Danio rerio: one gene and its partner. The protein of the gene in region 1 interacts with the protein of each later gene in a biochemical or structural test. Links are inferred from orthologs where the notes say so. Each region holds a gene or a part of one and is shown on either strand. Other genes may lie near its edges. The genes, in order: cflara and dedd1.

The links.
Region 2: the proteins of cflara (region 1) and dedd1 form a complex in vitro, tested with the Homo sapiens proteins (2 studies listed by BioGRID). The link is inferred for Danio rerio from reciprocal best matches to the Homo sapiens genes CFLAR and DEDD2.

What each region holds. Positions count from the first base shown.
Region 1 is NC_133186.1:32,567,897-32,584,537, reverse strand, and holds cflara (CASP8 and FADD-like apoptosis regulator a), read left to right. Parts: upstream 1-6,983; 5' UTR 6,984-7,143; intron 7,144-7,977; 5' UTR 7,978-8,051; exon of another isoform or gene 8,052-8,070; intron 8,071-8,151; 5' UTR 8,152-8,369; coding exon 8,370-8,677; intron 8,678-8,903; coding exon 8,904-9,009; intron 9,010-9,148; coding exon 9,149-9,284; intron 9,285-9,459; coding exon 9,460-9,497; intron 9,498-9,591; coding exon 9,592-9,655; intron 9,656-10,041; coding exon 10,042-10,094; intron 10,095-10,184; coding exon 10,185-10,263; intron 10,264-10,908; coding exon 10,909-11,395; intron 11,396-14,906; coding exon 14,907-15,021; 3' UTR 15,022-15,456; downstream 15,457-16,641. Other genes in the region: tmem169a (transmembrane protein 169a), read left to right, coding at 1-21. UniProt on the Homo sapiens protein: Apoptosis regulator protein which may function as a crucial link between cell survival and cell death pathways in mammalian cells. Acts as an inhibitor of TNFRSF6 mediated apoptosis.
Region 2 is NC_133191.1:11,089,104-11,105,610, reverse strand, and holds the start of dedd1 (death effector domain-containing 1), read right to left. Parts: upstream 9,858-16,507; 5' UTR 9,702-9,857; intron 9,325-9,701; 5' UTR 9,141-9,324; intron 7,981-9,140; 5' UTR 7,960-7,980; coding exon 7,494-7,959; intron 7,344-7,493; coding exon 7,224-7,343; intron 4,361-7,223; coding exon 4,232-4,360; intron 3,863-4,231; coding exon of another isoform or gene 3,804-3,862; exon of another isoform or gene 1,732-3,803; intron 1-1,731. UniProt on the Homo sapiens protein: May play a critical role in death receptor-induced apoptosis and may target CASP8 and CASP10 to the nucleus. May regulate degradation of intermediate filaments during apoptosis.

The DNA of each region.
Region 1 (16,641 bases):
GAGCAGACTTCTAATTTGTGAGCTGAGAATATGGAAAAATGGTGTATTTTAAGTGATGTCAGAAGGATGGCATGTTGTTGATTGGCATAAATCATTTTTACTTGTCACTAAGATGAAATCTTTGAAGGATTTTTTGTTCAAACTTTGTTGAGTTTAATTCAATTATTTCAAACACATTATTTCAACACAAGTGTTTACAATGTTCAGGATAAAGCTAATGGAACTATTCCCTGCAGGCAAAGGATGTCAACATGACGTCATATTGACGTTGTACCCCTACGTCATGAGGACGTTGGATTTTGTTTGGACATGAAAATCAGGTTGACATCAGAACCCATTGTCAGGCCGACTTCCTTGTCAAATGTCCAACATAAAATCAAGCAAATATCAACATCTAGTCATGTTGACGTTACCAGTATGACATCTTTCAGACGTTGGATTTTGGTCACTTTCCAACACAACTCAAAATCAACCAAATATCAAAGTAATTTGACTTCGTTATTGGATGTCAAAATAATGTTGTCCTTAGACGCTGGCTTGACAGAATTTTGGTCACCTGACATCATGACCTAAATCTAACCTAATATTAACAGCTTATGATGTGTGCCTGCTGGGAGTAAGGTCAATGTACAATGCAAAGAAAATTAGTCCAAAGTCTCATGTAGCTAAATTTAAATAGTTTCTATGATTAAAATATACTTTAGGGCTGCACAAGATTGGAAAAATATGGCATTGCAATTTTTTTCGTTTTACACATATTGAAATATACAGTTGAAGTCAGAATGAGTAGCCCCCTCTGTTTATTTTTTCCCAATTTATGTTTAACGAAGAATATTTTTTAATGACTTATTTCTAATAACAGATTTTTTTTTACCTTTGCCATGATGACAGCACATAATATTTTACTAAATATTTTTCAAGACACTTCTATACAGCTTAAAGTGACATTTAAAAGCTTAACTAGGTAAATTAGGTTAACTAGACAGGTTAGGGTAATTAGGCAGGTTATTGTATAATGATGGTTTGTTCTGTAGACTATCCAAAAAATATATAGCTTAAAGGGACTAATAATTTTGACTTAATGTTAAAATGGTGTTTAAAAAAATTAAAAACTGCTTTTATTCTAGTCAAAATAAAAGAAATAAGACTTTCTCCAGAAGAAAGAATATTATCAGACATACTGTGAAAATGTCCTTGTATTGTTAAAGCATTAGGTGAATACTTAAAACAAATTTAAATATGCAAAGGCGGAGTTATAATTCTGACTTCAACTGTATATACAATTTCACCAGATGACTTGTTAAATATCTCTATTTGGAAATAATTCCTTAATTTTAGATTGATTGGGATGGTTCTGTAGGGAAGCGAGTCATGCATGATATGTTATAAACAAATTACAAGCATAGGTAAATGCAATAGAGCACATATAAAAGTGAAATAAACTGTGTGTTATGGTTTGTCAAGGCAATCAAATTGTATTTAGGCACAGAAATAAAAACAAATCATATAAAATAAAATAACACTGCAAAGACTTTACTAAATAGTTCAATAAAATGATCTTCTATTAATGTTACAAATGGTAAAATTGCTTCCGCCTGAATGCTTTAAACCACAGGTGTCAAACTCAGTTCCTGGAGGGCTGCAGCTCTGCACAGTTTAGTTCCAACTCTAAATAAACGCACCGGATCAAACTAATTAAGTCCTTCAGGCTTGTTTGAATCCTACAGGGAAATTTTGTTGTATGGCGCCGCAAAAAGAGGCGGGATTAAACAAGATGATTAGACATTTAAAAAAGCATGCGATTGGTCCATATTATACATTTCTGCACAGAGATGTCATGTTTTGATCCTCGATTGGTTTCATGCATTCAAGTGATGCAATTTTACAGGTCAGAGTTCTCCAAGCTTGAACTTTGCAACGCAGCAAACTACGAAATTTGTCGCATGAGCTTGCGTTTCCCACCTGGCACATCCGCGTGCATATTAATGGAAGTCTATAGGGAGAAATGTCCAGTGTGACCGCGGCTTAAGTGAGTTGAAGCAGGGTTGAACTAAGAAATAAACTGTGCGGGGCAGTGGAATTGAGTTTGACGCTCCTGCTTTAAACTCTCTTAGGGTTTAAAAACGTGCAAACGTTACAACTTTTACTCCATATTATGGTTGAACTCTGCAGTAACTCCACATATCTTGTGTTTTGAACTGTGGCTTTAGACTCTCAATATAAAATATATATAAATTCTAAACTATATAATCCTATAACTCAATGTTATAAATCCTGTGATGTGACTATTGCGGCCGCACACATTGCGATATCAATGCTGAAGCGATAAATTGTGCAGCCCTAACATACTTCATAATCAAACTGTTATCAAAATTTTAATGACTCCAAATGAACTGTCGGTATGATGCTGTTAATTGCAAATCTTGCGCAAACAGATACACATCTATATGATCAAATGCTTACTTTACTACAGTTTTCTCATTTTGTTATTGAGAGTAAAATGCGTATCACGTATTTACATACTCATCTAATTGCCACTTGAAGGTTAATTAACAGTATAGTGCTGTAAAGTTATTTCCGACTTCTCTTTGTTTCAAATCAAAGAATGAAACAACTTCATCATTAGTATATTGGCAAGTTGAAGCACATTCTCGTACATTGTTTATGCAGTTCTTTTAATGAACTTAAAGTGTCGCTAACAACAAGAGTTTCTGAGTTTTTGCCTCTTTGTTTACTTATAAAGCCATTATAAAGATCAAATCAAAACTGTAAATTTGCTCAAAACCACAGCCTTATTCTGAGTCACTATGATGCAATAATGATTCATATTTACACTTCTGACGTTTGATTCACCTGGAAATCTGAAGCTCATTTTATTATTATGTCTACAAAGCAAATAAGTTGCAACTTGCTTAGAAAAAATGCCTTAAAGGTTTTTATTTACTATCATCTATCAGTCAGATCTGTTCTAATATACAGAAAAGTACTTTTTTAAGTATCTTTGGTTTTATTTATCAACCACAGATATTCGTCATGTACTTTGAATGTTTTTATGTGTAGCAGTAACTTAAGTAGAAACATTCTTAAAATCAAACGAGGATCTGTCCCTCATAGACAATGATCGGAAAAATGCTATATATTTACCTTTGCCCTGCATTACACAAGTTGCACACAGCTGATAAGAAGCTATCATGTCCTGTATGTACTCAAGTTTCTGACTCTTAAGCTCACTTGAAATAGCCACTAGACTGAAACCTTTTTATTCTCTAAGCTGACAACTTTTACACTTTGTGCTGTACAGTTTTAATATTATTATTATTGTTTTAATATTGTGTTCACATCCAAGTGTGGGTATGTCTCAGATCACTGGATTGCTGTATTTGTGTTTAAATCAACTATGTGGTGCTTTGTATTTCCACAGGAGTAACAACAATGGTGCTATAATAGTGTTCAACCATGGACACCGACCATTAAACGCAACAGACTGTTTCACACATGATGGGAATGGTGTAATCATCTTGCATTTTCAAAAACCTTTTAACAGATAATTGGACAACTCCAGACTAACAGATCATTCAGATTCAGATCTGATGGAGAGGTATGAATTATAGCACTCATCTCACTTCATTGTACAATCATTTACAATTTTATTATAACTTTAATCATGCAGTCGTGGAAAACCTTCAGATATTGTGCAATGTTAAAATTGTGTTTTCATGACCAGGAAATGTCACATGGATTAATAAAAATATCAAAACGTTTTGTAAATCTCTGGTGAATACTACTGCACATGATGTGGCGAGAAATACTGTAAATGTATATTGGAACCAAAGTAAAATAAAGAGACAGTTCACCCAAAAATAAAAATTCTGTCAACATTTATTGACCCTTCACTTGTTCCAAACCTGTTTGAGCTTCTGCTTTTGAACACAAAGTAAGATATACCGATGATCGATGAAAAAAAAAAACACCATTGACTTCCATTGTATTTTTTGTTATTACTATTTCCAACATTCTGCAGAATATCTTGTTTTGTGTTCAACAAGGAGAAACAGATATTAACATTTTAAACCACTTGAATATGAGTACATTTTTTATTTTTGGGTGAACTATCCATTTAACTTAAACCAGGGGTGTCCACACTCAGTCCTGGGAGGCCGGTGTCCTGGAGAGTTTACCTCCAACCCTAATTAAAAAAACCTGAATCAGCTAATCAGGCTCTCAGTAGATAAACTAGAAACTTCCTGGCAGGTGCGTTGAAGCAAGTTGGACCTAAACTCAGCAGGACCCCGGCCATCCAGGACCGAGTTTAGACACCCCTGACTTAAACCAAAACCTTCATGCTCCCAAAAAATATATCAAGTCAGTATGTTAGTAATTTGTTCCTTTAATTTAAGCTGTTTTAAACTGACGTTTAAAGTAAAACATGCAAAGACAAAATAGTGGAAAATTTGCACTTTTTTGATTAGAAACTGTTAAATTATTTGCTTTAAAATATGGAATTGGTATACGTTTGTAAAGTGTATCATTTTACAGTTTTGTTGTGAAAGAATCATCATCAAAGGATTCCGCTTATTGCACAAGATTCTTTGATCTTATTGTTTATCTTCGGGAGCTTTTCCAAGTGCTGATCTGTACAATATACAGTCATAATGTTGATCACAATGCAAGACCTTGACCTGATTTTTAAGTTAGACCCGCAGCCTAACACAGTTTCACAAACAACACTTGAATGACTATATGGAATCTTATCCCCTGGCAAAAAAGTAGCTTGTTTTCTGTAAACATGGTTTCAAAGCACAAACGTTGTTTTTGACAGCATGGACTCAACATTTAGCTTTCACACTGGGTGTGTTTCACTGGTATTTTGTTTACAATTTATAATAAAGTGTTTTATCTCATTTGTCGTTTCAAGTATTTTCTGAAAGTCAGTTCATTTCATTCTCATAAAGGTGTGTCACAATGCTAAATAATTACCAAACCTGTAAAAAACAAATTAATTATTACTAGGGCCAGAAACAATCTGCAGACATTTTTGCGGAGAATTTTGCAAAAGACCTGCGGATTTATGCTAAATGAATTTGGCAGAGTCATAACTATAAACTTAAATGAAATAAAATGTATTTTGTCCAGCAGTCACATCGGATGAAAATTTTGTTTTAAAACCCAAAAAGTTTATTTATTACTTTTAGTTGTGAACTCATTTTAAGCAATCAAATCTTATGAAATGTAGAAATTGCGTTAAGAGAAAAATATACAAAGCAAGACTGAGTAATACAAGAAAAAGACAACTAAATAAATAAAATACAATTACCAAGTGTGCATATTACTGTAGGACATCTCGGTGGTTCGAATTGTTAAGGGCCCCCAAATCACTAAATCCAGTCCTATATGTACTAATCATAGGTAATATGTCTAGATCATGCAAACGTTAAGGCACTGTTGAATGCTTTGATCAAATATTTGGAGGTTATATAAAAGTAATTTATAATGGTTTATAGTAAGTATGAAGCAAGTACTATAAAATAAGACCAAAATTAAATAGTAAGTTCTTATAGTTATCTGTATCTTTTCATCTATGAAATGTACTAAAACTTTCTTGTTTTCTCTTGAGCATTGCTTGTTTGCCCAGACACTGCTTACCTTAGATGTTGTTCATATTTGTTCAGTGAGTAAATTCACTAAATGTCTTATACTTGGCGTGAAAATTACAATAAAATGAGCAAATCAGCAAAATATTATTTTGCAGCAGCCTATGCATTTATTTCAGCATTAGAGTCCACAAATGAAAAATGTGAAAGGTGGAAAAAATCTGTTTTTATTCTTTTCAACAAGTCTGTTAGCAAATTAGCCGTAGTTGCATAACAAAACTGCATAAGTGAAAAAAAAAATCTCCAATAGAATCAGCTAAATCGTAACGATCACTTTAACATCTGATCTGTGCAGTTTTGGAACTCAAATTATGTAAATAAAAATAGTTGGTTAGACACATGACTTTATTTACATATCCACATACACTAAGAAAGCATAACAGACCATCTAATCATAGGATTGAGTGTAATAAACTAATTCAGGATCTTAATGTTGTTATACTTAGTTAGAATCGTTTTATAGTAAAATATACAAAACAAACATTGTGTCACATTAAAATGAATTACTATAGTTGATAATTTAAAATAACTACTTCATCTTTTACTAAACTGCAGCAACTTTTAGTTATATATATTATATATATAATAAATATATTTAAATATATAATTATTATTATCAGTCAATTTGTTTGTATTACTATTTTGTTGCAACTATAATTATCACAAATGACCAGTACTTTATGGTTTAACAAATCTATATAAAAACATAAAAACAAATATATTACTTACTTTAAATCACTATAGTACTTCATGTGGGAAATCATTAATAAAAAAAGTTAGAAAATTGAGCAAATAAATACTTATCGCTGGAGTAAAATAATAATATAGTGTTAGACATTTATTAAATGTAAAAAGATTTGTATTACATATAAAGATGTATTATAGCCTACACATATAATCTTGCCATATTTCCTTCATTATAGTGAATCCATTATATAAATTAAACCTGCCCAATTTAGATCGTTGATATATCTCTGAAAAATGTTTCAGCAAAGCCAGCAACGAGTATCTGCTATACTGACTTTGTTTGATGAATAATGACTGATCATCCATGAGGGCTGATATCAGTACAGCTTGTCTCGATAGAGGGGGAGCATGAGCTCTCGCTCCTCCTCCTATAAGCTGTTTTAATCCTGGTGTACGCATTAAAACAGCTTTCAGGAGGCAGAGCTAGAGCTCATGCTCCCCCTCTCTGGAGCTCAGCTCTGCTCAAATGGCTCTGCAGCGAGCACCCTCTCGTTTTAATGCGTGCACCAACCCCACCCCTAACCCTACCCCAGTGACATCACTCGTAGAAGTGCATGAAAGGAGGAACGAGAGCTCAAGCTCCCCCTCGCTGGAGCTCAGCTCTGCCTAAATGGCTCTGCAGTGAGCACCACTACTTGTCTCGATCGACCGGAACAGGGCGTGACTTCGCGTAACTCAAAGGCTTTGGTAACTTTGCTTTCGCTTTTGCTTCAGTTTGTCACGATGGCGACGTACGACGTAAAAGGTAAAAATATCATTTAAATACATTCTCTCTGATCAAATAGCTTACTTTTAGTAAGATTTTTTGTTATAGCTTCATACAAGTTAGTCGATAAACACTTAACGTTAACAAGTTCTATAAATGGCCTACGTAACCTACTATAAGTACAATTTTACCGGACAAATTCGGCTGTAAGTTGAAGAGTCCTAACTACTGAACGGAAGACGTTGTGAACAACATGTAAACAAAGGCAGTTCAAGTCAGTCGACGGTGAAACGTAGTAGTTGTTTTAGAATACGCGTATTGTATCGTTTTGTATTGCTGTTGTGACCTTTAATTATCTGCTCCGCCTGTATCTCTGTCCACGTAGGCTTTAGGAACAGGTGTAAGTTAGTATTGTCGGGAGACTTAGTTATTCATACATTCAACTTTTTGAATCAGCTCGAGTCGAATGTTTTCACAATAAAGACATTAAAGAATCGATTAATCTTTTACGACCGAAGTGGTTCTTCGGAATTCAAAAGTTATGCCAAAAACAATGAAAAGGCGTTGTTAGTAGATAAACGCTGTGAAATAGGCTAGTTAGTAGATAAACGCTTGTGTAGTGACGCTATACAAATTCCATGGTTGATTTCGGAAATCCCCTTGCTTAAGCACACTGACAAGGATGTTTGAAAACATCAAATGTAATGTATTTTAAAGAATATCAAAAAATACCACCGTGGTAAAATGCCCCCCACAAAATCTGTTGTGGATGTCTAGGTACTTTCCATCATTATGGTTTCATTTAGATTTACATCCATCTAGTGATGAGTCCCCTTTCTCCTCCTCTTTTTTTAAAAATTTTTTTTAACTTAGTGTCAGCAAAAGATGAAGCTCGCTGCTGGCAAAACCACCAAAGAATTTGGTGCTCCAAATTAAGGTCACTGAAGGTAATTCAGCCTTTTACAGGTATCTTTCATTTGTTGATGTTTTTTTTTATTTATTTTTTTATTTTTTTGCTAAATTGGGTGTTCTGTTTGTCTTTTACAGGTGTAAATCCAAAGTGGCTACATTCTTCCATTCTGTCAAGATAAATGCAATTTTCATTCATTGATTGCAAAAAAAAAAGAAAAAGAAAAGAAAAAGAAAATACAGCCCTTTTTCTAGACTAACTTAATTAGATTTTAAAAATGCATAGAAAATTCAATTCTGCTTTTAAAATGACCCAAACTATTACCTAAAGTATTTATACAACACCATACGGTGAAATGGCAGATGGATTTTCTACTCTGGTTAACAAAGTGACCGCATCTCTTAGCAGCGACGAGTCTAAGATCCTGCTGTATCTTTGCACTGATTTGTTCAACAACAGTTGTGTGGAAGAACTGAGAGGAGATTTGCTGGCCTTTGCCCAACAGAACCCCAATCAAGCAGGTCAACCTCATTCTGGAAATGCTCTGCTGATGGAGCTCATGTTTCAAATGAAGCGCTATGATTTACTACGCAAAGTTTTTGGCACCAACAAACAACAGGTAGAAGGAATTCTCAGAAAGGAGCGCGTCATCTCAGATTACAGGTAATTTATTCTTCAAATGAACACATTTCAGATATTTCCTAACCCATGACCCATGTGGTGGAAAAATACAATTTTAGTAAAGAAGAACTATTTTAGAGCTTGACATTTGTTTGTTTTTTTAGGTCATTAGAGCAGTTTCATTAGAAATACCCATGTAGAAATACCCATGTGTGTTATTTACACTCTCTTTTGCAGTACGATTATTGAATTGATTACTTTTATACAGGGTTCTAATGGCAGATGTGAGTGAAAACTTGGATAAAGAGGATTTACAATCTCTTATCTTCCTCCTAAGCAGTATCCTGCCCAAAGAAAGATCAACTAGAGCTACTGTAAGACCTTACTGAATATTTCTGTCTGTTCAAATTAATATTTATTCTGCAGAATATTTAGGTAAAACTGAACATGAATATGCTATTTTTCTAGAAATGTGTGTGCTATTTCATTTTGGTTTCAATTGATTTCCAATAGAGCTTTCTAGATGTGGTGGTGGAGTTGGAGAAATTAAATGAAGTATCTTGTGAGAAGCTGGACTTTCTTGAAAAGTGTCTTAAAAATATTCGCAGAAATGACCTTGTCAAAAAAATTCAGGCGTACAGGAATAGAGGTCAGTCCCTTTTGAAAGAAAGTAAAAGAGAAAATCTTCTGCAAAAAAAAAACATGCATTTCTATAACGCACCACAAAGCTCTTAATTTGGCAACTAGACTCAGTTATTTTATTTACTAATATATATCAAATAAAGCAATTACGTGATTAAATTTACTAAATAAAAATTATTTAGGTCAGAACATGCCATGTGCCGCTCCAAATACCTTTAAGGTAAGACATTTAAACAAATATATTGATACAGTATATGAAAAGTATATAAAGCATATTTTTAAACTCTTTGTTTTTCTACTTTTTAAAATTTCAGTTCACCCCTATGCAGTGTCAGCCTTTTGAAAAGCAAGTGAGACAATCACAGTGCTTCAATCATGGTGAGTTAATATGTAGGTATGTACAGTATGTGTAAAGCGGGTGTAAAGGGATAGTTCAAACAAAATTCTGTCATTATTTACTCACACTTCACATTTCACAAAACTAATTGAGGTTCCTTTTTCTGTTGAACCCAAACTTTATTTTGAAAAATGTTGGAAAGCTTATACCACTGACTTCCCTTGTATTTGCTCTTCTTTCTGGGCAAGTCATTGGTCACAGGTTTCAATTTCCAACATCCTTCAAAATAACTTCTGTGTTCAACAGATGAAAAATGAGCTCATAAAGGTTGGGAAGAAACCATTCGAGAATGAGTACATGATGACAGAATCAAACATTTGATTTGCTTAATTATCACTTTATTTTTGACCCTGTGATCTTCTTCTAGAGTTCAACAAATTGAAGCTTTCTGTGCCTGAAACAGGGATTCACTATCAACAGGTAAGTTATCAGCTTCTCGGCTGACTAAAAACAATTAAAATAGAAATTGCCATTCTTTTAAAGTTTATAAGTTGTCTTTATATCTGCTAGGCTATTACAGAGGAGTATCAAATGAATCCCGAACAAAGAGGCCTGTGTGTGATTATTGACTGTGTTGGCTATGATGGAGGTAAGTGTGTGTCATACTCTCAAAATAAAGGTACGAAAGCTGTCACTGGGGCTTTTGTACCAGGGCCACATTGGTACTTTAAAGGTACACTTTAATACTTTTTAGGTACTAGTATGTACAGTCACAGTACAACTGAGGGACTGTTTGGTAACACACACTTAAAAAAAAAAAGGTACTGCCACAGTGATTTTTGTACTTCTATTTCTGAAAGTCTTTCTCTTTTGTATTTGTTCTAGAGAATCATCTAGAGAAAGTGACCTTAAGGTCCTCATTTAACTAATAAAATACTATAATTTCTTTATTGACTTTTTTCATAAGTTAAAAGAGGATCATAAGGTCACTTTCTGTTTTAGGTGGGGAAAAAATACCATGACAGTTTACACTTTCTGAATACTTGTTTTGCCCCTGGTTTCATTGACACTCTTTATTCCGACAAGTGTGCTCAGAGTAAAATAAAAAAAATCCTATATTATACCCCTGATTTTCCTAACAAATTCATAATTTTCATACAACATGATTATTTTCCCAGTAATTACAAACTGGGGAAAACATTGATGTCAGAACAGAACTAACACTGTGGATGTTCATCATTTTCTTTTACACATAACTTCTGCATCTAAACATCTACACATTGTGTCCTTTCAGAAATGTTGAAGCACACGTTCGAATGTCTGGGATTCAAGGTCGTTTTTCACTCTCTCTTGGGTCTGAAGGAAACCCAGAAGGTTTTGGAAGATCTGAGCCTGAACAGAATTCTTCAAAGGGTCAGATGCTTTGTCTGCTGCCTCATCAGCAGAGGAACAAACACTCATCTGTTGGCTACCGACTCGAACAGGCTCGGCATCAACCTGAAGGATCTTAAACAGCTTTTCAACGCAACCAAGTGTCCAAAAATCTTCTTCACCCAGCTCTACAGGATCACAGAAGCCCCAGTAATGCCCTCAATGGATGACGAATACCTTGAGACAGATGCACCAGCTTCCAGGCAGTGTTCAAACACAGGAAGTGTTCCAATGCCAGCGGACGTCCTCTGGAGTGTCTGTACAGCAGAGGTAAAACTGCTGGAAGAGTCCGGGCACCAGTCGGTTTACCTGAATGCATTGAACAATGCTTTATTGAAAGGACATGAGAGGTATGGCCACTGTTTATAAAACATTTCTTAGTGCCTAATTTACCAATGTTAATAGGACAGTTCACAGAAATATTTTAAATTACTCATCCGCTTGTTTCAAACCTGTTTGAGTTTCTTATGTTGGAGACAAATTATTAATATAACATTTATTCTGAAGGATGTTGGAAGACTTTTTTTTTTGTTAACAATATGGATGTCAATGGCTGCTGCTCTCCAACATTCTTCAGAATATATTGTTTTGTGTTCAAGAATCATAAAAGTTTAGATCTGCTTGAGTGTGAGTAGATGAGTAAATTAATTTTTGGGTGAACTATCCCTTTAATATTTGAAATCATGCATTTATTTGTTCCTTAACATGAAATAAATGTTCTTGCTGCATTGTATTACACCAGCAATGCTAAATTATGAAGCTTATTTGTTAGTACCATAAATGGTCTCGTTTTAATCAATGCATTTACTAAGATTGAGCAATATGTATTTTAAAAATAGCAATTTCTGGGAAAGTCTAAATGAAATGTTACATTCAGATGTGAGACAAACCAATGTTAAAACAAAACTCGTTACTAAAACAGAGCATTTAAAAACGTCTATAACTGCATCACTCTGGATTCAAACCCATTACCTCTGCATGCCAGTCAGGAAGTCTCACCACTTCACTAAATCACTTAAAAATTCAGGTGTACAACGTGGGGTTTAATACCTCAGTTTGCTGAACGGTTTCTTTGTTGAAGCTGTTCAGAGTAATACATCACAACTGACCACAAGGTGTCACTGTAGAAACAGGTTTTGAAGCTTCGACAACTTTGCTTTGACTGTTTAAGTGTTTTATGAAGCCTCGCTTTGCCCACCACCAGGGCTGGACTGGGGCAAAAAATCAGCCCTGGCATTTTGGGCCAGAGCGGCCCACTAAATTCAATCAAAATGCTATCGATCTATGCACGTCATAAATAAAAAAAAATTATAAAACACAAAAGCCATATATATTAAATAAATAAATAAATACAAACTTTAATCTCAATTTAAATTTCTGTATACTGTCCATAAAGATATTTGTTGAGTTCTAAAAAAAATACACTATTCATTCATTTATTTTTCTTCGCATAAGTCCCTTATTTATCAGGGGTTGCCGCAGTAGAATGAACTGCCAACTATTCCAGCATGTTTTACGCAGCAGATGCCTTTCCAGCCACAACCCAATATTGGAAATCACCCATACACACTAATTCACACACTCATACACTACAGCCAATTTAGCTTATTCAATACACTATTCACTCAGCCTATATTCAATAATAAACATAACAAAAAAACTGCCTGCTAATGCATGGGCAAATCTTAAAAGGGAACAGTGTTACATTTTAACCTCTTTCTCCTCATCCTGCTTGGTCATCTGCTTTCATCTAAACAATGAAAACATAATATAAGGAAATTTGTTTCATTTTGAAATTATGATTAACAGACACCAAACAGCCTCGTGTAGCTGCATATTTATATGAGCGTCATCTTCACTCTGCATATTTATAACAAAACAGGGCTTAAATACAACTGCCTTCTTTCATTTCCATTGAAAAGAATGAACTTTACCCTGTCTCTTTTGCAGAATATCAGTTTTAATAACCAATAATGACCATTATAACAGTGTAACGTACATTAAATTTAAACGATAAAGGTAAGCAATCAGTCAATGTGCAGAATCAGTGTATGTGGTTACATTAATTAATATATTAGCTTATCTTTGCACTCAGCCAAAACAGTTAACTGAGAGCAAGAGATTCAAAAGACATAAGAGTTGTTAGATAGAGACAACAAGATAAATTCAATATCACGTTTAACAACTATAGTGATATGAGATCATCCAGCAGATGAACTGTCTGACATGCACTATACTCTCACCTGGGGTTTATGCTCAGCCGCTGAACTACTTGGCTGCAGCTCTTGGCAGAGAGTGTGCATGTGTGTGGTCACGTGATTTGCGCTTTTAGCCGTGTACTAGATTGTACAGAGAACTTTTCAGAATCGCTAAATGAAACGCCGGTGTAATTCCCGCGATTTCTCTGCGCCTCCCTTGCGTTTCTTCTCTCTGACTCTCGACTATTTTGACAAATACACACAGACGACACACGCTCACACGGAGTCCAAAATAGGAGTTTGTGATTGGGCCAGCCCAATGTCAATACCGAAAAGAGCCAATGGGCTGCAGAGTGTCAAATGGGCCGGCCCGGTCTGTCTGTCCGGGAAAAAAGCATCTACTTTCAGAGTCACAGATCACAGCAGCGTCAATTAATAAGGCAGAAAAAAACGATAGGCTGCTAAGCCTTTTATGGGCCGATCAGATCATAAGATGATGCCTGGCCCAAAAAGTACGTCGGCCCACCGGGAAAGTGCCCGGTCTGCCAGATGGCCAGTCCGCCCCTGCCCACCACTATTTATAAGCTGCTTTCTAGCTGTTTTTAAGGGTGTTTCCGGCTTGGGAAAATTGGTCCTCTCTTGTATGAGTCCTTTGTAAATCCATTAATTTGAAAAAGTACACAACAATCAAGTGGATCTGCTTCCAAAATATCTGTATTAGTTTGACACATCGTGGACAGATGTTATCATGAGACAGAATGATCAGAGTGCCATAGACTTTTGCCCATTACAATTCAACGCATGAGTTAGCAATAGATCACCTGTGACAAAGCATACATTAGCTCCTCGTGAGTTTTCAACTGATTAAAAAGCTGATAATGTGTATGCAATTTAGGGCTGCACAATATATTGCAATATATGATTTACATCACAATAAATGTGTATCGAAGATGTGTGTGATAAATTACATTTATTTTATGCATTGGTTGTTTCAGACCAATCACATTGGCCTAATTATTTTTATTGCCACCTCTACAGTAGTTGCTGTTCTGCTATTAGCTGGAGCAACCCAAAGGTGAACCCAGAGCTGAAAATTAATACTTATGCCGAGAGTCAGACATGAGAGGAAAAGGACAAGTGTCAGAATATCTGCTGAGGATTTCACTCATTCGTAGTGTTTCAGACTAAATGTTTGCATCTGGACAGTTTTAGTGTGAATTATAATTAGTTATATTTTACTTGTTTCTTTTACTATCATTACATAACTTATTATTTAAAATTATTTAAAAGCAGCTAATAAAATTCACATTTTTAGGGAAATGTTATATCATAACATTTTTAACATAATTATCATGATACTTAACAACAATGTTATATATGTTTCCAGTCTCAAGCAGCCCTAATGCAAATAAACAAGCTCAGCACAACAGAATTGCAATATTTACAATATTTGCAATAAAATCCATCTTTAGGTTTGTCGTTAATACAACATTATATTCATTGAGACCATTAGTTATTGCTTCTTGAAATTTAACACTGAAGCCGCCATATTCAACAAGAAATGTGTCAGTGTTCAATCAATTTTAGTTTTCCTTTTGCAGACAGAGACCAATCTGATCATGAAATCCCGTTTATTTATATATATTTTTCCTTTTATTTGCAGAAATGTGCCCATATTGGATGTCATGAAGGAGGTACAAAGAAATGTGTTGAGTCACGATTCTGACAATTACCAGCTTCAGCAATCTCACACACTACAGAAAAAACTCTACTTATAAGGACAACACAACACAAACCACTCCATACTTTGGTTTCTGTTTTCTTACAAACGCTAGTAAAAAATGTTTGTAAACAAAACGCTGCTGCTAGAGTAAAAACTTAGCATAGCTACATACTGCCATTAATGCTGTATTATTCAAGTATGTTTTGTTATATGTTTGTTTAATATTTATTTGTCACTTGTGGCAGCTAATACAAAAATGTTCTCATTTGCAGTCAGAGTACTATCGTCCTGAATACCCTTAAGTCATTAGTCAAGATGTTGTTTATTTGTTTATTGCTTCTTAAATACTAATCAGAGCAGCTTTACATTCACACATACATACAGATTACATTTGAATGCTCCAAAGCAGAAAAGCAACGACAACTGGCAGTGAAAACACTACTGAACACCACTTTTATATTCCATCTTGCATATAAAACTCTATATAACCAAATAACCAAGAAGTATTGTCCAACAATTTTATCTTTGTTGATGTGTAGTATGAGTAAATATTTGTTTTGTAACTAGAATTATAGACCATTTAGTACTAATCAATCAATGCACTTTTAAAGCCCTAATTATTTAGACCCTCTTCTTAAATGATCCGTGAATGCTTTTCATTTAGGCATTGATTTTAAAATTAGTGATGAAATTACATTTTCTTAGACCAGGGGTGCCCAAACTCAATCATGGAGGGCTGGTGTCTTAGAGATTTAAGCTTCAACCCCAATTATACACACCTGAATCAGCTAATCAAGCTTTATCTAGGTATAAACTTCCAGGTAGGTGTGTTGAGGCAAGTTGGAGCCAAACTATGCAGGACACCAGCCATCCAGGACCAAGTTTGGGCACCCGTTTAAGTCTTTGTCTAGTTTTCAGAAGAACCAGTTGAATTACAATTACATATATATATTTTTTTCTTTGAAGGTTATATGTTTATCAATATCTAAAATATATATATATATATATATATATATATATATATATATATATATATATATATATATATATATATATATATATATATATATTAGCTATTGTACACTACTATCGGAAACCTAATGATTGATAGTCATTTTCACTAGAATGTCATTGAAGGTCAAGAAAGATGTGTATTAGCAGATTAATATATAAATGTATAATTGTATTGATTATTTTCTTTTCTTTAAACTTTAGTATACATGTATAATTGTCCTAGAATGTCATTGAAGGTCCTGGAAGATGTGTATTAGCAGATTGATAAATGGAATTATAATTACTCTTTCCCCTTCTGTTTCAAACGTTACTGTGTATAATTGTCTATAATTATCAACATCTAAAAAAATAACACATTGTACTTTATAACCTGCTTTTGTACTGGAGTCCTAACGATTAATAGTCAAGGTGGCAGAATGTCATTGAAGGATGGAAGATGTGTATTAGCAGATTAATAAGCTTTATGAATGAACTGAATGTGTGGACAGCCAAAAATCTGAAAACACTCCTGGCAGCATGAAGTGAGTACTTTTTTTTTTTTTTTAATTATTATTATTATTATTATAAAAAGCTACATAAATGCACAAATAAACTTCTGTCTTTCTTGCAATAAACTATATAAACGACAGAGCCAGTCCGCAGTTATTTTTGGAAACAAGAA
Region 2 (16,507 bases), on another chromosome or scaffold:
AAAAGTTCTAGTAAACTGAAACTGTGTCAGTCCAGTTTTCAGAGTCAAAGTTCAGTTTAGTTCATTTCATAGTGGTTTATTTTTCACTGCTGAAAGTCCGAACACTAATGAAACTCCCATTCTGCCCAATTATCCCTTCTTCCAGAGTCGTTAATGTCTTTAAAACATCGTTTAATGCTTTGCACAAATCTGTTTACATGTATACTTCAATTCGAGCGGCCAAGCGGTTCACAATTTGATCTCCTTCAGAACTTTCAGGGTTTATTTCTTTGTTTGGTAACTTTATTTTGATGGTCCATTTGAGTATTAGTAGACTGTCTGCTTCATATCCATTGATACTGCTCCCTAAACAGACATTTAACTGACTATAAGAAACTTTGCAAGTACATGTCAACTTACACTAACCCTAACGTCAAACCCCAACCTAACAGTCTACTTATAATCTAATGAATTAGTTTTAATGAATTAGAATCAGTTGGCATGTAGATGCAATGTAACTTAATTCAACAAATGGACCATCAAAATGAAGTGAGACCCTTTGTTTTTTTTATAATAAATGAGAATATTATTACTTACAGGGCGACATGGTGGCACAGTGGGTAGCACGATTGCCTCACAGCAAAAAGGTTTATGTGTGAAGTTTGCATGTTCTCTTTATGTTTGTGTTGGTTTCCTCCGGGTGCTCCGGTTTCCCCCACAGTCCAAAGACATGCGGGACAGATGAATTGAATGAGCTAAATTGGCCGTGGGGGTGTGGTGTATGCGTGAATGTCAGTGTATGGGTGTTTCCCAGTGTTGCGTTGTGACTAATAAAAACATATGCTGTGGCACCCCTTGATGAATAAAGGGACTAAGCCGAAAAGAAAATGAATGAATGAATGAATGAAAAAGTTTGTAATTTCATATTATGCTCTGTTGTTCATTTTAAAGCATCGCAAAATAAATAGTTTACAGTAATACTTTTTTTACATTTTTTTATTTTTACATGGTGAGAGAGAAACTACAATGTTTACCTTTTGTATTTTATTTGCCATTATTTTATCTGTAAACATTAGATTTTGAGAAGTTAGATATCTAAATTTTTTATAAAATATTTCCAGTTAATTTAAAAATAAAGTGAGAAAAAAAAATCACATTCAAATGAGTACATTTAAGTACTCTGAAAAGAATGTACTTTAAAAATAAATGGTTCTTATATAAGGACCTTTTTTAAAGTATAATTTTATATAATTTATTGAATTCACGTCTGGTTAGAACAAGATACAAGGTCTGTTAGGTAAAAATACATTACCTTAACAATACGGCATAGTTTCTGATGAGAAAGGAAGAGGTTTACCAGTATGGACTATTTTGCTGCACCAAATTAGTGCATTACTTCTGACTGATAAGGGCATCTGCTACTGGGATGATAAGTGCTGTACATATATATTAAAAAAAAAAAAAAAAACTATAGATAAAACCATTAAAACATTGGGTTTCCTTGTAGCCTTCAGCAAAAGCTAAATGCTTTAGCAGGAGACATGAATGTGAAAGAAAAAAGCAGTTTATATTGAGTGTTTATGAGACCCTGCAGCACTTTTTAATGAGGAACATTATCAAAGCCATGCAGTCTTTGTACAAGCAGATATTACAGGTCATTAAGCTTCTGTTACAACAGATTAAAAGCATCTGAGTGTAAAGATGATGTTGACAAAGAGCATGTTTAGAGCCTAATCTTTGTAAGAAAAAACATTTTTATAATGACACCTTCCCATAGTGTGGAAACATGAGGAAGCCTGTGTTTTTTAAGACATTAGCATGGTAAAAATCACTGATCTTAAAAGATGAAACCGTCCTCAGATTTTTGCAGTTTGTAATTATATATTTGTTAATGTTTGGACAATCTGAGGGTAAATGCCAGGATCATGCTAGTAATATTGTGAAAAAATACATACATAAACATTTTTAAAAATGAGAATCTATTTTGTGTTTAAAAACATATTTCAAAATTTTAAGCACACCAGAAGATGCACTCCATAACCAAAAATGAAAAAGGCTGAAAAGTAAGCAAGGTCATGCAGATTAAGGGTGCGTTCACGCTTTTAGTATGGTTCTGCTGGTTCTTTGATCCAGACAAAAAAATAAAACTATGCATTTAGTTCTGGTTGGTTGAGTGTTCACATTAGCATTTTTAAAAACATTCCTATAGACACAAAACCTGGTGGCATAAAGTTTAATGAACCTTATTCATTTTAATATAATTATAACTTTATGTAATTGGTAGCATCATAAATGTAAAAGTATTGTAAGCTTGATTAAACATCCTCACTTTTAGTGTGCATATAGTACGCAAATATTTTAATCCCATTTTGATTCACATTTCAGTTGAACAGCACCAGAGTACATTAAGAATCTTTCAGCTTGTTTGGTGCACACCAACGTTTGCATGGCAGGTAGGGATGAAACGATCAAGCGATTTCACTATTAACTGCACTTTACTTCGTCGTGGTTAATTAATCTTAAATGCTTCAACACCTGATTTCTAAAACTGTTGCAACTTAACAAAGCTACACTAACGGTGCACTACTTCACATGTCGTGTCTTTTGTTCGCACAAGTTTGTTATTTCTAGCGAGCATAATGGGAGTGATGTGCATGCTGCAAGACGCATTCATGCTTTCCAGGCGCACCTAGTTGAAAGATTGGTGCAAACGCACCTTGAGTCACATGACAAGAACTGATCAATCAGCTTCATACTTTGTATGGAATATACACATTTGTACTCCAAAGAGAAAAAAAATTACAAAAAAAAAAAAAAACGAACAATTTTGTAATGTAGTTGATCTAAAGTGCATTTCAGACAAAGGTTCAGCAGCCTTCGACTGCATTTGTTTTCTTTAATAGGCAAATATTTAGCTAATATGATGCTTAGATTTACATTAGACAAATATTTTTTTTTAATTCTCATTTTTGTTTGTTTGTTTATTCACTGTTTTGTCATTTATTTTCAGTGTAAAATTATTACTCATGTTTAAATGGCAAAAACGTTTCTCATCGCTGCGACACGGAGGTAACAGTCGGAGGTATCACACATCAGACACGCACATTCGCATGCTATTTAAAATGAAAACTATTCAGATGCCTCTCGTTGGCGTGGCAGAACAGTGTCCTGAGTCATAGCTGGGCGCAGCGGACAGCCGCCGAATTGCATCCGGTGTGCGATCCTCTATAGACTATTTAGACTTTTTTATTATTATTTTGTGGTGTATTAACTTGTTACTGAGCAGCAATAAATAATACTTTAAAATATAAGGAGTTTTTAAATGATTTTTTTAAACTAGTAGTGTTTTGAAATACATAAATGCATAATATTCCTGATTATTCCTTTGACTATAACCGTACAACCAAAATCTATAATTGTTGCATCCCTAATGGCAGGGTTCAAATTTATACAAATAACCAGCACTAACAAAGATCATTTTAATCATTAAGTCTGAACAGACCCTAACAAATTATTGCAAAAACTAATAAATTATTGCAAAATTGCAGTGAACTCGAGTATGCGTATTAAATGTCAATGACATTTGGCTCCCACTAGGCTGTTACACAAGAACCTGACAGATTTTTATACTTGAAAGCAAATTGGAGCATGAGCTAAACTGGGCCCATTGGTATGTTGAGATTTGAATGTCCTAGAAAAACAGTTTTGGTAGAAAATATAACTTGCATGTAACCATTTTTCTTAACAAACTGTTCTGGCAAATTTGTGATCTTTTTTTTTGGCATTTTCTTACCTACTGTGCCATTATTGCCACTCAGTGTGCCTCACGTGCTCAGTTCTGAAGAGATTTTTAACAATGCCCTGTTGGCAGGACAGCTCCCATCTAGCAAAAGCATAAAGAGGCTTTGGTGTGAGCAGCCTTTGAGTCCAGTCAGAATGAAACTCAAAGTGATAACAGTGCAGAGTGCAGGGAATTCACAAAGGGATGAATGGAGATGACATGAACGTATTGTGTGACAGTTTGACACTGTCGTTCTGTAAGCATTAGAGGTTCAAGCACTAATGAATGAGTGACTGATTAATCACACTCGAGAAATGAAGCATTGAGGTTCACTCTTCAGCTGTAGAGCAATTTATATATGAAATCAAATAAAAGGAGAGAGAAGTAGCAAGGCAAAACGATTCACATGTTCAAAGGATGCTGTTAAATGAGACTACATGACAGAAGAAAACAGAAAGACAGTGCTCTTACCGCACGTCACTTTGTTGGGTGTTGACTGAGGCTGGATTTCAGGCGGCCCTCTTGATTTCCTGCTCCAGTGGTGACCTCTTCCTCGCTTCCTTCGATTGCTGGAGGCTGATGTCATTGAAGAGCCAGAACCTGACATCGAAAACACTAATTATCAACACTGGCAAAAGCAATTTATAAACACAAGTAGAGGTGGCCAATTTTTAAGAATACTTTTAAATATATGAAAATAATTATATTAAAATATATAATCAAAAAGACTGAGTCATTTGGCTAGCCTTGTTAGCCTTTTAAAGTCAAGTGCTATTTTGTGGCTTCCGCCCTGATTTTGCCTACACAAATTAAAAAGCTTGCCAAATCCACATGCAGAGGTGTAAATGCAAAAGTCTGGTCTCATTATAAAGAAAAGCCTTTTCAATTTTTATAAAACAATTTTGAAGGTGATTAAAATAATTGTATGTGTTGTCCGTGTTATAATAAACCCCTCTAATAAAGAGGCGTTTTTTTTTTTCTTTTGTAAACTCAAATTTGCAAGTGTACCTTTTTCTGGGTTCTGGGGGGTCTGGGTTGCTGTAATTAGTTTTGGTGGGTTCTGCACATGCCAGAAATCATAGGTAAAAAGAAAAATGTCTCTATCATAATCTATGCAAAAGTTATTCTATTCCAACTGATGAGAGAACAGAACCATTTATGGAGGTTTTGGGGCAGTACAGACATTTAAAATGTAAAAAACGCAGAAGTGAATGATGTCAGGGACCATAGTTTAGGAGGTTAAAGCGATGTTGATTTAAAGTCTTTAAAATGTACAATTACTAAATTTATTTTGTTAGCTCATATTGCTATTCTTGAGGTGAACAGTCTATGTATCAAAAAAAATACTTTCTTTAACAAACTATTTTCTTTTCATTACAAAACAGTAATGACATAATAAAAACAAAAACAGTAAATTAAAGTAATGTGACTGACAAAACTGTGAAAACAAAATGGTAATCCAACCAGTACACTCCTCAATTAGATGCAAGCAGCAAACATAATTCATTCAGTTTATTGCTGTGAATCAAACTGCAATTGTCAGTGAAATTATGAAAAATGTAACTAAATGATTTGCGTCACCACCTAAAAATGTTCACAAGTCTTCACGTTATTTTTTGTGAATTAAAATATTTGAACACCACAATGAGTTGTTGCTGGATTGAGGCATATAAATAAACTAAATTATTATTCTTTAATAGTTTCAATTTGTGAACAAAAATGTGTAATATATGCTTTCAATTAAACATTTGAGTCAACTCACCAACAGTAAATGCCTGGTTATTATATTACAATAAATAACATTAAATTCTGGGCCAAAAAAACAAAAATTCTGCATAAATTTGCTCCAAAACCAACATTGTAAATGATTTCTTACAATTAATGTAATAAATAATATAAAATAATTTTGTAAACAAAAAGTAAATATAAATGGCATTTTAAAAGCACTGCCATGACAGCCCAGTGGCGTTATAGCAAACAGGAACAAGTATATTTTTATAGAAATATCCAGCTGCAAGTTATTTCAGTGGACTTTGCTTTACGATTAGTAGATGCGGTTCATGCAAACATATTTTTATTAGTACATGAGCAAATTATCAACAAAGTGATACATTGAGCTGTTTTTTTTTACTCTGCAATGGTAAGCCATGGTAATCAAAGGGATAGTTCACCCAATAATGACAATTCTGTCATCGTTTACTCTCCTCTGACTAGTTTCAAACCAATTTGAGTTTATTCTTGCTCTGTTGAACACAAAATAATATACATTAAAGAATGTTGAAAACATGTAGCTGTTGACATCCAAAGCAGGAAAAACAAATACTTTAGAAGACAATGGTCACATTTTTTCAAACATTCTTCTTTATAAAGTATCCTCTTTTGTTTTTAAGAGAAAAAAACTGGTTTAGATTAAGTAAAGGGTGAATAAATCTTTTTTTTTTTTTTTTTTTGAGTAAATCAACTATACTCTTTAATGGAATTCATAGTGCAGTGCTTTCCGCATCCGGTCTGAAAGCTGCTTCACACTCAATGACTAGGCCTAGAGGTAGAGTGAAAGCAGTGTGGTAAACACCGCACACAGTATTGCTCTTTTTGTGGCTTTTACATTTGTTTGTATTTCTATTTTGACCAAAAAAACTGAAAATGCAATTTTCAGCCAATAATAATCACCGCATGAAAATGTGGTGCATCCCTACTATATTATATGATCAGAAATGCTAAAAAAAAAATGGGACTGGGCTGATAAACGATACCATATCGAAATTGCGCTATAATTTATGTTGATAATGATAATAAGCTATGGAAATGTTTTTTCTCGATATTGACCTAAGAGCCAATCACAGAGCAGACTTATGCAACAACAGGAATCTGTGTTGATACTAGAGATATGCTGTCAACCAGTATTATTTAGCGAGCTCGATTCACTTTCCCGCCAGCTGTTTTTGCTGTTAAACTGTTGTGTATTTTAATGATTACTGTTTTTACCATTTTTAATCAAGTAAAACATTTATTTAAAAATGTTTCTGTAGTTGTTTATTTTTAGACAATGCAATAAGTATATTTTTGTTTGTGTACTGTATATATGCTGTCAGTTACAGATCTTCAGGAATGTTATATTTTATATTGTATATCATAAGTATATCACAGAAAATCGGAATCTCCAAAATAGAGTAATGTGTAAACTGTTTTTGTTAATAAACAATACTTTAAATTTTATTCAATGAAGCGTCTGATCTTTGTGGCTTCAGTCATTGTTGAGATACTTTTTTAAAGCTGGAAGCATTACCAACTTATATCAAAATATATATCGTTATCGTTCAATATGGAAAAAAATTATCGAGATTGCATTTTTGACATATCACACAGACCTATATAGAAATAAACAAAAATTCTAACAAATAAAGCAAAAAAGAAAACAGTAAATGACTGTGCTCAGCCTTTTCTGTCTTCAGTTTCTGCTCACCGGCTCTCCAATGATGATCTTGTGTGTTTTCAAAAGATGGTATATTTGTGTTTGAGCCCACTTCTCTGTCTTGTCTAAAATCCACCTCTGGATAGTCTATCTTCTGTCGTTCTGGAGAAACTAAAAGAAAAGATAGCACATCAGTACCTTATAGAAAAATTACATCATACCATCTCAATATCAATAGCTTCATCACATCAATGTCATCATACATCAAGAATCTAAAAAACAATGACAAAATTCAAATGTAGTTTTAAAGCTGATGCTCACCGGTTCTTCTTTTCTTTTGTGAGACAAAAGGCAGGACATCATGTCGGGTCAGAATCCGCAGCAACTGAAGTAGAGGTCTTAGATTTGCATCGCTCAAGTACCCTCGTCTTTCCAGCTCTAACAGCAGTTCGACGCCACTCTTGGGTCGGTGGCGACTGGCGATAGAACATCCCTCCTTCTGCGGCTGCATTCTTTGCCATGACTTCAGAAGCCGAGGACACGGAGTATTAGCCTGTGGAGATCCATCAGGTCCTGGAGGCAGATCTTCAGTCCACCCCTCTGGATCAAGAGGATGTTTACCAGGATAAGTTTCGTCGAGGAGAAAGGACAGAACTTCCACATCAGTCTCTGTGAGTTGAGAACCCACGATTTCAAAGATCTCATGGAGTGAAAGCGTCTCGTAGTAGCTCAGGCACTCAGTCTCCTCCCAGTACAGGGAATATCTTGAGCATTTCACTGAAGACATGGTCCCTCTAAATGTTCAAATCTGTGTGGTAAAGAAGAAGTATGTTACATTTTAAAGAAGATTACATTTTAAAATGCTCATGGTCAGATTACAGATACTCTTTAGCAGATTACATAATTACAAATAATGCACAAAATCGTCACCTTAGAATTATAAGGTTCTATCTGAATGATTCTGAGATATTGAGCTTCCAATCTTTTGTATTCCTTATAGCAAACAGTATGTGTGTAATATGTTTTTAAATAAAAAGTTTTAAAATGTAAACAACTTATAAAAAAAACATCCCATAATGTACATAAGTTGTCATTTAATAGGAATATGTCCAAAACTCAATTTTGACAAAACTGTCAGATAGAACCATATCATTCTAAGGTGATGAAATGGCTTTTTGGCTATAAATTATAATTTACTGACTTTCCCTTATTCTTCAGCTATTTAAATAGTTAGATACTAGTGTGTATGATAAGGAGTATCTCTAATTATTCCCAATATATTGAAGAGCCATCCAAAAGCAAATCAGTTGTAAATGTAAATGTTTAACTGTTTGGCAGATGTGTTTATCCAAAGCTCCAGTTATTTAAATTTGTATAAATATGTGATGTTCACAGTTTCTGATGTCAATTATGGTCAAGCAAATAAATAAAATTACTTGCGTTTTATTTTACCTAAGAACTAGATTAATTCAGTTTAATATTTGAATACTATAAAATACATTGCATTTCTTTGTGTCTTTATAAAAAACTATATTTACATTTTGTTTTAGTTGTATAAAACTCTAATACAATTGTAATACATGTTTTAAACAGATTATATTATAAATCTGTAAGCTATCCAAATTAAATCTAAAAAAAAAAGTGTTGTTTATGGATTTAATCTGTAATTTAATCCGTAACATACTATAGTTTGTCAATAATCACTCAACACTATTTACATAAACAAATATTACATAAAGATAAGCTTGAAATATCCGTTATAAATAAAATCCGCTAATTGGCTGTTTTTCAAACATGTAAAGTAACGTTATATGTAAGAGCGTTTCGACAGTCTCAACAAAAACAGATGTTAGCCTCCGAGCTAGTTGTCAGCCTCGACTGCGAACTAAAATACAGTCTATGTAAAATTCAAATACAGCTTATTGTCTTTTTATCAGAACAAAACCAACAGTATATAAACATATTTACACGGTCGTAGAAGATTCAGCGAAGTTATTTTGTTTTGAACAGAGCTTTTGTTGTGGTCCGCCCTCAGTCCGTCAGCTCAGCAGCTCCAAATGTTGACGTCAGACGTTTCTCTCAGGCACACGCAGCGTCACGTGCACTCCTTATGTAACGTCACGTTTGAGGTGAGGAAGCTGACGCCGAGCAGCTGAAAAAAAAACAACAAAATCTACTAAAATTATATGCACGAATGATTTCGTTATTAGACTTATGTAGATTGTTTGTGTTTGATGCATAAGCGTAGCTAACCCTGCAACTGACTAACGTTAGATTTTCCTTAAGCTGACCTGACATCACACTGCACCAAACACTCGATGTTAAAAGACTTAGATGTTGTTGCATTCCAAATACAGCTCATTAGTGGGTTTGTTTTCAACACTATGATATATTAGTCTAGTGTTCTTGCAAAAATAAAATTAAACTAGCCGCGAGATACTTCAATCTAAATAGTTTCGATCATACAGGTTTCGATATGTTACTGTAAGAATAAAATGTGCGTATTTTCTGTAGTCCATGAAATCTTACCTGACACAAAGGGTTTTTGATGTGTTAACACTCAAGAATCCGACGAAATTCACCCACCAGTCAAATGGAAAACAACAGTCGGGTGCCAGTGAGTTTTGTGGACTGATCTCTGCACAACCGCAGATCGCCAAAGGTCTTCTAGAAAGAAGGTTCCGGGAAGGTCACTTGAATATGCTTTGTAGATCGAGTCTCCAAGCTCGTTAAATGGTATCCGCAGAAATTCGCCATATTGGTGAGGGAAAATTAAATAAATTTGAAGGAAAACTCTTTCGAGACGTTGTTTTTGTTATTGTTATAAAGTGATATAGCCAAAATAGGCCATCCAAAGGTGAAGTGTCTTGTCTCTTCAAAAGGTAACAGCCAATGACTGCAAAGAATTTCAAACTGTCGCCATAACATTACTTGACAACATTTAGCAAATTAATTTATCAGTCGAAGGTTGCTAAGTGGGGAGGGGCAATATTCTGAGACCAAAGGCAAAGTGAGTTGACTGATATGTGCAATATTACTTTTCAATAATATCAATAATAAATAAATAAAAACAAATGCACATTTAGAATAGTGATTCAGAAAAGCTGATTAGCTGGCCCATTTACCTGAACACTGCAATTTAAAAAAATGTGTCAGCTTACAATTATTTTATTATCAGTTGAACACACAAAATGTTAAAAACAGTATTTATTAATGACAGGAATGTGGTTTAATATAATATTAATTATAATTAATATAATTAGGAATGGGGTTTATATTATTAGTTTTCCATGCAATTTAACAAAAACATGGCCAAAAATGCATGGGGGCTGTTCCAGAAAGCAGGTTATGTGACATACACGGGTAAGTTTGAGAGTAAGTAGGTGGATAACCTCAACTTTGGTTCCAATATCGGAGGTAACTTCTGGGTATGTTAAGTAGCCATAGCAACTTACTCTCTGAAGATAACCTGCTCCGGAGCAGGTTATGTTCAGAGAGTAAGTTGCTATGTTTCAGAGTTTGTCTGTTTCAGAGAGTTTACTGAGCATTGCGTGCTCTTTTGATGAGAATATTTATGGATGTGGACACACAGATACAAGTTTTTTCGTTGTGCATAGTTTTTTTCATAACCAAATTCATAATGTTAATGTATTTAACAAACCTTTTTGAAATCAAATGTGACAAACCATGGGTCTGTGCTTACCATAAAAATCATTTAGTGCAGCTCTTTGTATTCGCGTCAGGGCATTTTAGGCAACTGTACAATGTGGCAGCATGACCACCTGTAAAGTATGCCTGGCACTGAACTGTTTTTTACACTTTTGTACAGTTCCTTGGTCATACATTACTGCGTATCATTACACAGTTGATTCAGAGCACGGGAATAGTGTAGTGGACAGTGCGTCGATAAAGAACAACGGAGCGAGTTCGAATCTCACTTACAGATCTTGAGTTTTTTCTCTCCTTCTGCACCCTCACATTTTACTGTATAATATAATAAGTGGCAGCTTTGTCTTTTGTAGGAAAATATATCTTTAATTTAAGATGTAGGACGTCGTTCTTATATAAACATTCAAGCACACACACCTACATTTTTTAATATAATATTCTTTTCAGGGTTTCTAAATGCTATTGTGTGCATTAATTGCAGCCAATTTTAAAGCTCCATCAGTCACTAAAGGACACTGATAATATAAAATTTGTCCAAAGTATAAGTGTGCAGGTACAACTTAATTTTCTATCCTTAATCTTTTGGTGTTTCAACTATTAAACTCATTACTGCTTCCACTTACCAGCTCATCACACACCCCACCTCATCACTATGTTGAGGCTAAATGGCTGATTTTCAGGAAGTAATGATTCAAGTAAATATAGTAAAAAACTATAAAGCAAATGTTGCTTAACACAATGTTTATTTTTATTATATTTGTATTATAAAATAGAATCATTACTGGGCACTACATTGTTACTTGCTGGAGGACAAAAGATACCCTTTTCTGCCTTATACGATGACACGTACCTGCAGCCTGACCCAGAGTAAATCTCAGCGACCCAAGCAGACAAAACAGATGGAAGAGTGCTAAAAATATATAATTAGTCAAAAAACTATGTTTAATCAAATAGTTTGGTCTGTTCATTTCTTCATTTCCTGAAATAAAATGAATGATTTTTTACACTGCTTTATACAAGCACCTTTCAACGTGTAACATATTTTTCATATACATTTCTCATCTTAAGCTGATGCTCATGTGACTTTATCTTTGAAGATGGACCTTATACAGCTACTTTAGAATTTAAATATGTAGATAAAAGATTTTGTGATCCAAGAGTAATATTCAAATATGGAAAAGTGCAGAAAATTCTTACACTGCTTGTTAGTTGAGGCAGAAGGAACTTCGTCTGCATGCAAAATAAAAAGAACCTAAAGCTATCTGACAACAATCACTTACAACAGTGACAGAGTGTGTGGTTTAAGTCAAAAACTCAACCACTGAAAAGCCTTTATTATAGGACACAGCAGTTAGACAGGCCTCTTTCTATTAGCTGCATGTCAGAAACAATATTCTAGAGTGTTAAATAAAGAGCTCCAGTAATTAAATATTACCTTTTATGATAATGTTTCTGTGTTTAATGACTTTGGACAGAGTTCTAGCTCCAGAAAGATTACAATTTCTATAAGCCTTATTAGTCAATACACATATTGTGGCCTTAAGAAATTAATGGCAAGAAAAATAAATGCATGAATGGTTACACAACATACTCAAAAAGGATTTTAAAGAGTAGTTTAATTTATCATTACAATAAAATGGAGGGTGGCATGTGTAATTTAATGAACTAATAAATTTTCTTATTATTTATTTTCTTATCTATTTCTTATTCTATATTTCTTTCCTTCGTTGAAGCAGATGTGTAATCTCTGTGTTTAAAACCTCCAGCTTCGCCTCTGTAAAGTGCGTTGCCCTTTTTTTTCACCGTGACTTTCTATGGTGACTCCTGAATTCGGCGATCTACTGAAAATGCCTTCAGGTGTGTGCCGTGCACGCGCATTAACCCGCGGTTATCTTCAGGAGGTTGATTTAACTAACTCTTGTCACCTGTTTTGGAACCAACATACTCGCGGTAAGCAGGTTTTGGGTAAATCAACCGAGAGTTTAGGTTTTAGCAGATGGTTAGTTAACCCAGCTTTCTGGAATACCCCCCTGATGTCACCCTTTATGCAAACTACACTTAATTTCTGTGGTTTATTTCCGCTACATTTCTTGGTTCATTCGCTCATTTATTTATTTATTCATTAATAGGCTTCTAACAAGCTTGTGAAACCAGGTTTTTCCATTGTTTTTCCCCAAAACATGGCAGTGTGTAATTTATGCTTTAAACAAAAAGCAGAGTTCTGTTCACAGACCTTGACTCCTGAAATACAAACTCCAAAAATCATAAATTATCATACCAGCATACATGGATAACATGGACCCAGACATTCCCATAACATCCTCACATGCTGATTTAGTTTCTGGTTAGTAATTTAGGACAACCAAATAAGGACAATAAAATAAGAATGTCCTCTATATTACAAAAAAAAATGGTAAAGAAAGAGAGAAAGAACAAAAGAAAGAAAGAAAGAAAGAAAGAAAGAAAGAAAGAAAGAAAGACCAAACCAGCAGGGAATAAGGCAATGTTTTGAATATTCACAGCTTTCTCTTGATATCAACAATTTAGTTTTTCTAGTTAAAATGATTATTATTGATAGGGATTTAGATTTCTACTATATTAGCTATTCTGCCCTTACTCTGGTGTCTCTCTTCCTAAAGTTAAACAGACAGATAAACTCTAAAGCAGATAATGCTGCTTTATTCCATGCCACAATTAATATGTTGAAACAGAGTGAAACTACGTGCATACAGTGCTCTATAGATATCTATGTACATAACATTAATATCTAAGTTGAAATATATATACAAACAGATAATAAACTTAATGCTTCCACAGGTGATCACAGGATGAGTGATCCAATTAATCTCAATTCAGTTCATCTTTATTTCTATAGCGTTTTTACAATGTAGATTTGAGTCAAAGCAGCTCAACATAGAAGATTATAGTAAATTGAAACTGTGTCGGTCCATTGATGTGCAGCTAAAGTACCGAACCATGCAAACCAAGGGCGACAGTGGCAAGGAACAAACTTTACCAATTGCCGAAAGTGAAAGAAAAAACCCTTAAGAGAAACCAGGCTCTGTTGGACACGACCTTTTCTCCTCTGGCCAAACTTCTTGCGCAGAACTGCAATCTAAGCGTCTGACGCTGGAGAGCGCTGGACGTCCATCGTGGAGAAGCTGCAGGTGGGAGAGGTCACCAGCTGGTGTGCAGACTGACTCTTCAGGATCATTGAGGAAGACTCATCTGTCACTGGGGTCTTACAGGAATCAGTCTCATGCTATCCACTCCTCCATGACCTCCACAGCAGCTGCTCAGGATACGGCCTGGTCCAGGATTATGGAAATCTCTGGAATAATAGAAACAGACTAACATAATTGATGTTCAAATTGTAATTTATTTTGGGAAGTGTTCCCAGCTTCAGCTGCCCTAAGTAATGCAGACTAACAATCCTTTGGAGGATTTGGATTTCAAAAGCATTTGTGTTTTATGTGTTTGCTAATGCATAGAGATGTGTATTTATTCTAGTTTTAAACTGACAGAGGCATAACAGTAATGATGTTACTCCTCTGAGAAATAAAGTTAATTACCAGTTCTTCACTAGTTTTGACCATAGGCTGCCATTTTTAAATCAATACTTAATTTCTCACTATTTAAATTCCATTTTAAATATCAGTAACAGTTGCTGGTAAAACCTTTTTTTTTCCAATAAATACATGGTCACTAATGATAATCTTTATTCCAGTATAGGCCCACTGAATATCAAGAATTCAGATATCACTGAAATGGTATTTGCTGATATGTGTGAATGTATCTCAGCTTGATGCATTTAGGAATTTCTAATATTGATAACAATAATTAATTTCCTATATCTAAAATAACTTTTTTTTTTGCTATTAGCAATCACACTGTGCCTACACTACCTGACAAAAGTATTGTCGTCGATCCCTGCTGTAAGAGCAACAAATAGTAACTTGACTTCTAGTTGATCATTTGGAAAAGTGGCAGAAGGTAAATTTTTTGATTAATCATGTTGAACTGCATCACACATACTGCTGACCTATTGGAACCCTCATGGACCCAAGATTCTCACAGAAATCAGTCAAGTTTGGTGAAGGAAAAAATATGATTTGTGTTTACATTTATTCAACATCAACAGCCTGAGATATCAAGACATTTGCTGCCCTTTTCATTACATATCACAGGAGAGGGCAAATTCTTCAGCCGGATCACGCTCCTTCTCATACTTCAGCCTCCACATCAAAGTTCCTGCAAGCAAAGGTCAAAGTGCTCCAGTATTGGCCAGCCCAATCACCAGACATAAAAGTTATTGAGCATGTCTGGGGTAAGATGGAGGCGAAGGCATTGAAGATGAATTCAAAGAATCTTGATGAACTCTGGGAGTCCTGCAGGAACACTGTTTTTGCCATTCCAGATGACTTTATTAATAAGTGATTTGAGTCATTGCAGAGATGTGTGGATGCAGCCCTCCAAGCTCATGGGAGTCATACACAATATTAATTATTTTTCCATTGCACCATGACTTTATATTCTATACTGTACATTATTTCTGTTAAGTCTTTTGTTTTAGCAAAGTCAGGCCTTACTATCCTCATTAAATAATAAAAAATCAAGGCATAATCATATTTTATTTTGGTAAAAGAAGCGTACACTAGAGGCCTTTGCCTTTCAGCCACTGATACCAAATCATCAACTAAGTCAAGTTATTTGTTGTTCCTAAAACTTGGATAGGCCACAAGGTTTTTGGCAGTGTGTACTGGAAAAGAACAGAAATCCAATTCCTGAAATTAATAGCATTTAGCTAGAAAAAAAGTATTTATTGACATCACATATTTATAATGCTGCAAATGAATGTCAACTATACAATGTTCATTACTAGGTATGTCTGTTCTTGAATATTAAAATATATTATATATTATCAAGGGCTGATTTAGTGATTTTGGGGCCATAAACAATTCCAGCCAAGGGGCCCAAAAGTTCTAGAATGCATCTTTTGTACTTGAATTTTTAAAAATTATTTTCATATTTTTTTAGTTTTGCTGTTTTTTTCTTATATCATTAAACCTCATTTTCTATATTTTATCTTAATGCAAAATAATAGTTATAACATGTAAAGGACATTGTATCCATTTAAAAAAAATTTAGGTGCATGCCCTGTATGCTGATCCGTGTCACTAGGAGGCAGTCGCAAGTTTGACTCGTGTTAACTTATGTCAACAGAAGAAGATCGTCACCGCTGTTTGCGAACCACATCATATCCGCTGCACATCAACACAGTCAACACATCTACACAAAGTGCTGTGAGTATGATTGTTACTTTAAGGTTTACTCCCCTTTTAAAGCACAATTCTAGAAATATTTCGTCTCACTGTCTGTCGATTTCTCTATGTTACTAACGTTACCGATTGATCTCAAAGTTAAGGGGTATCGATATATATTTTGAGAAAGAGCGCTTGCTGCTGTCTGTAACGGATTTGATAAACAAACTTTATGGATTATGTTTTGTGACATACCAAAAAAAGAAAACGTTGTTTATTGTCTGACTGTAATAATTTATTTTTTGAGGCACATCTGACGTAATGTAGCAGCTTAACAAACTTGCTCTACCGGATTGTTTCTCTTCTTGAACGCAGAGTTTCAGTTGCAGCCCATGAGTGACATCA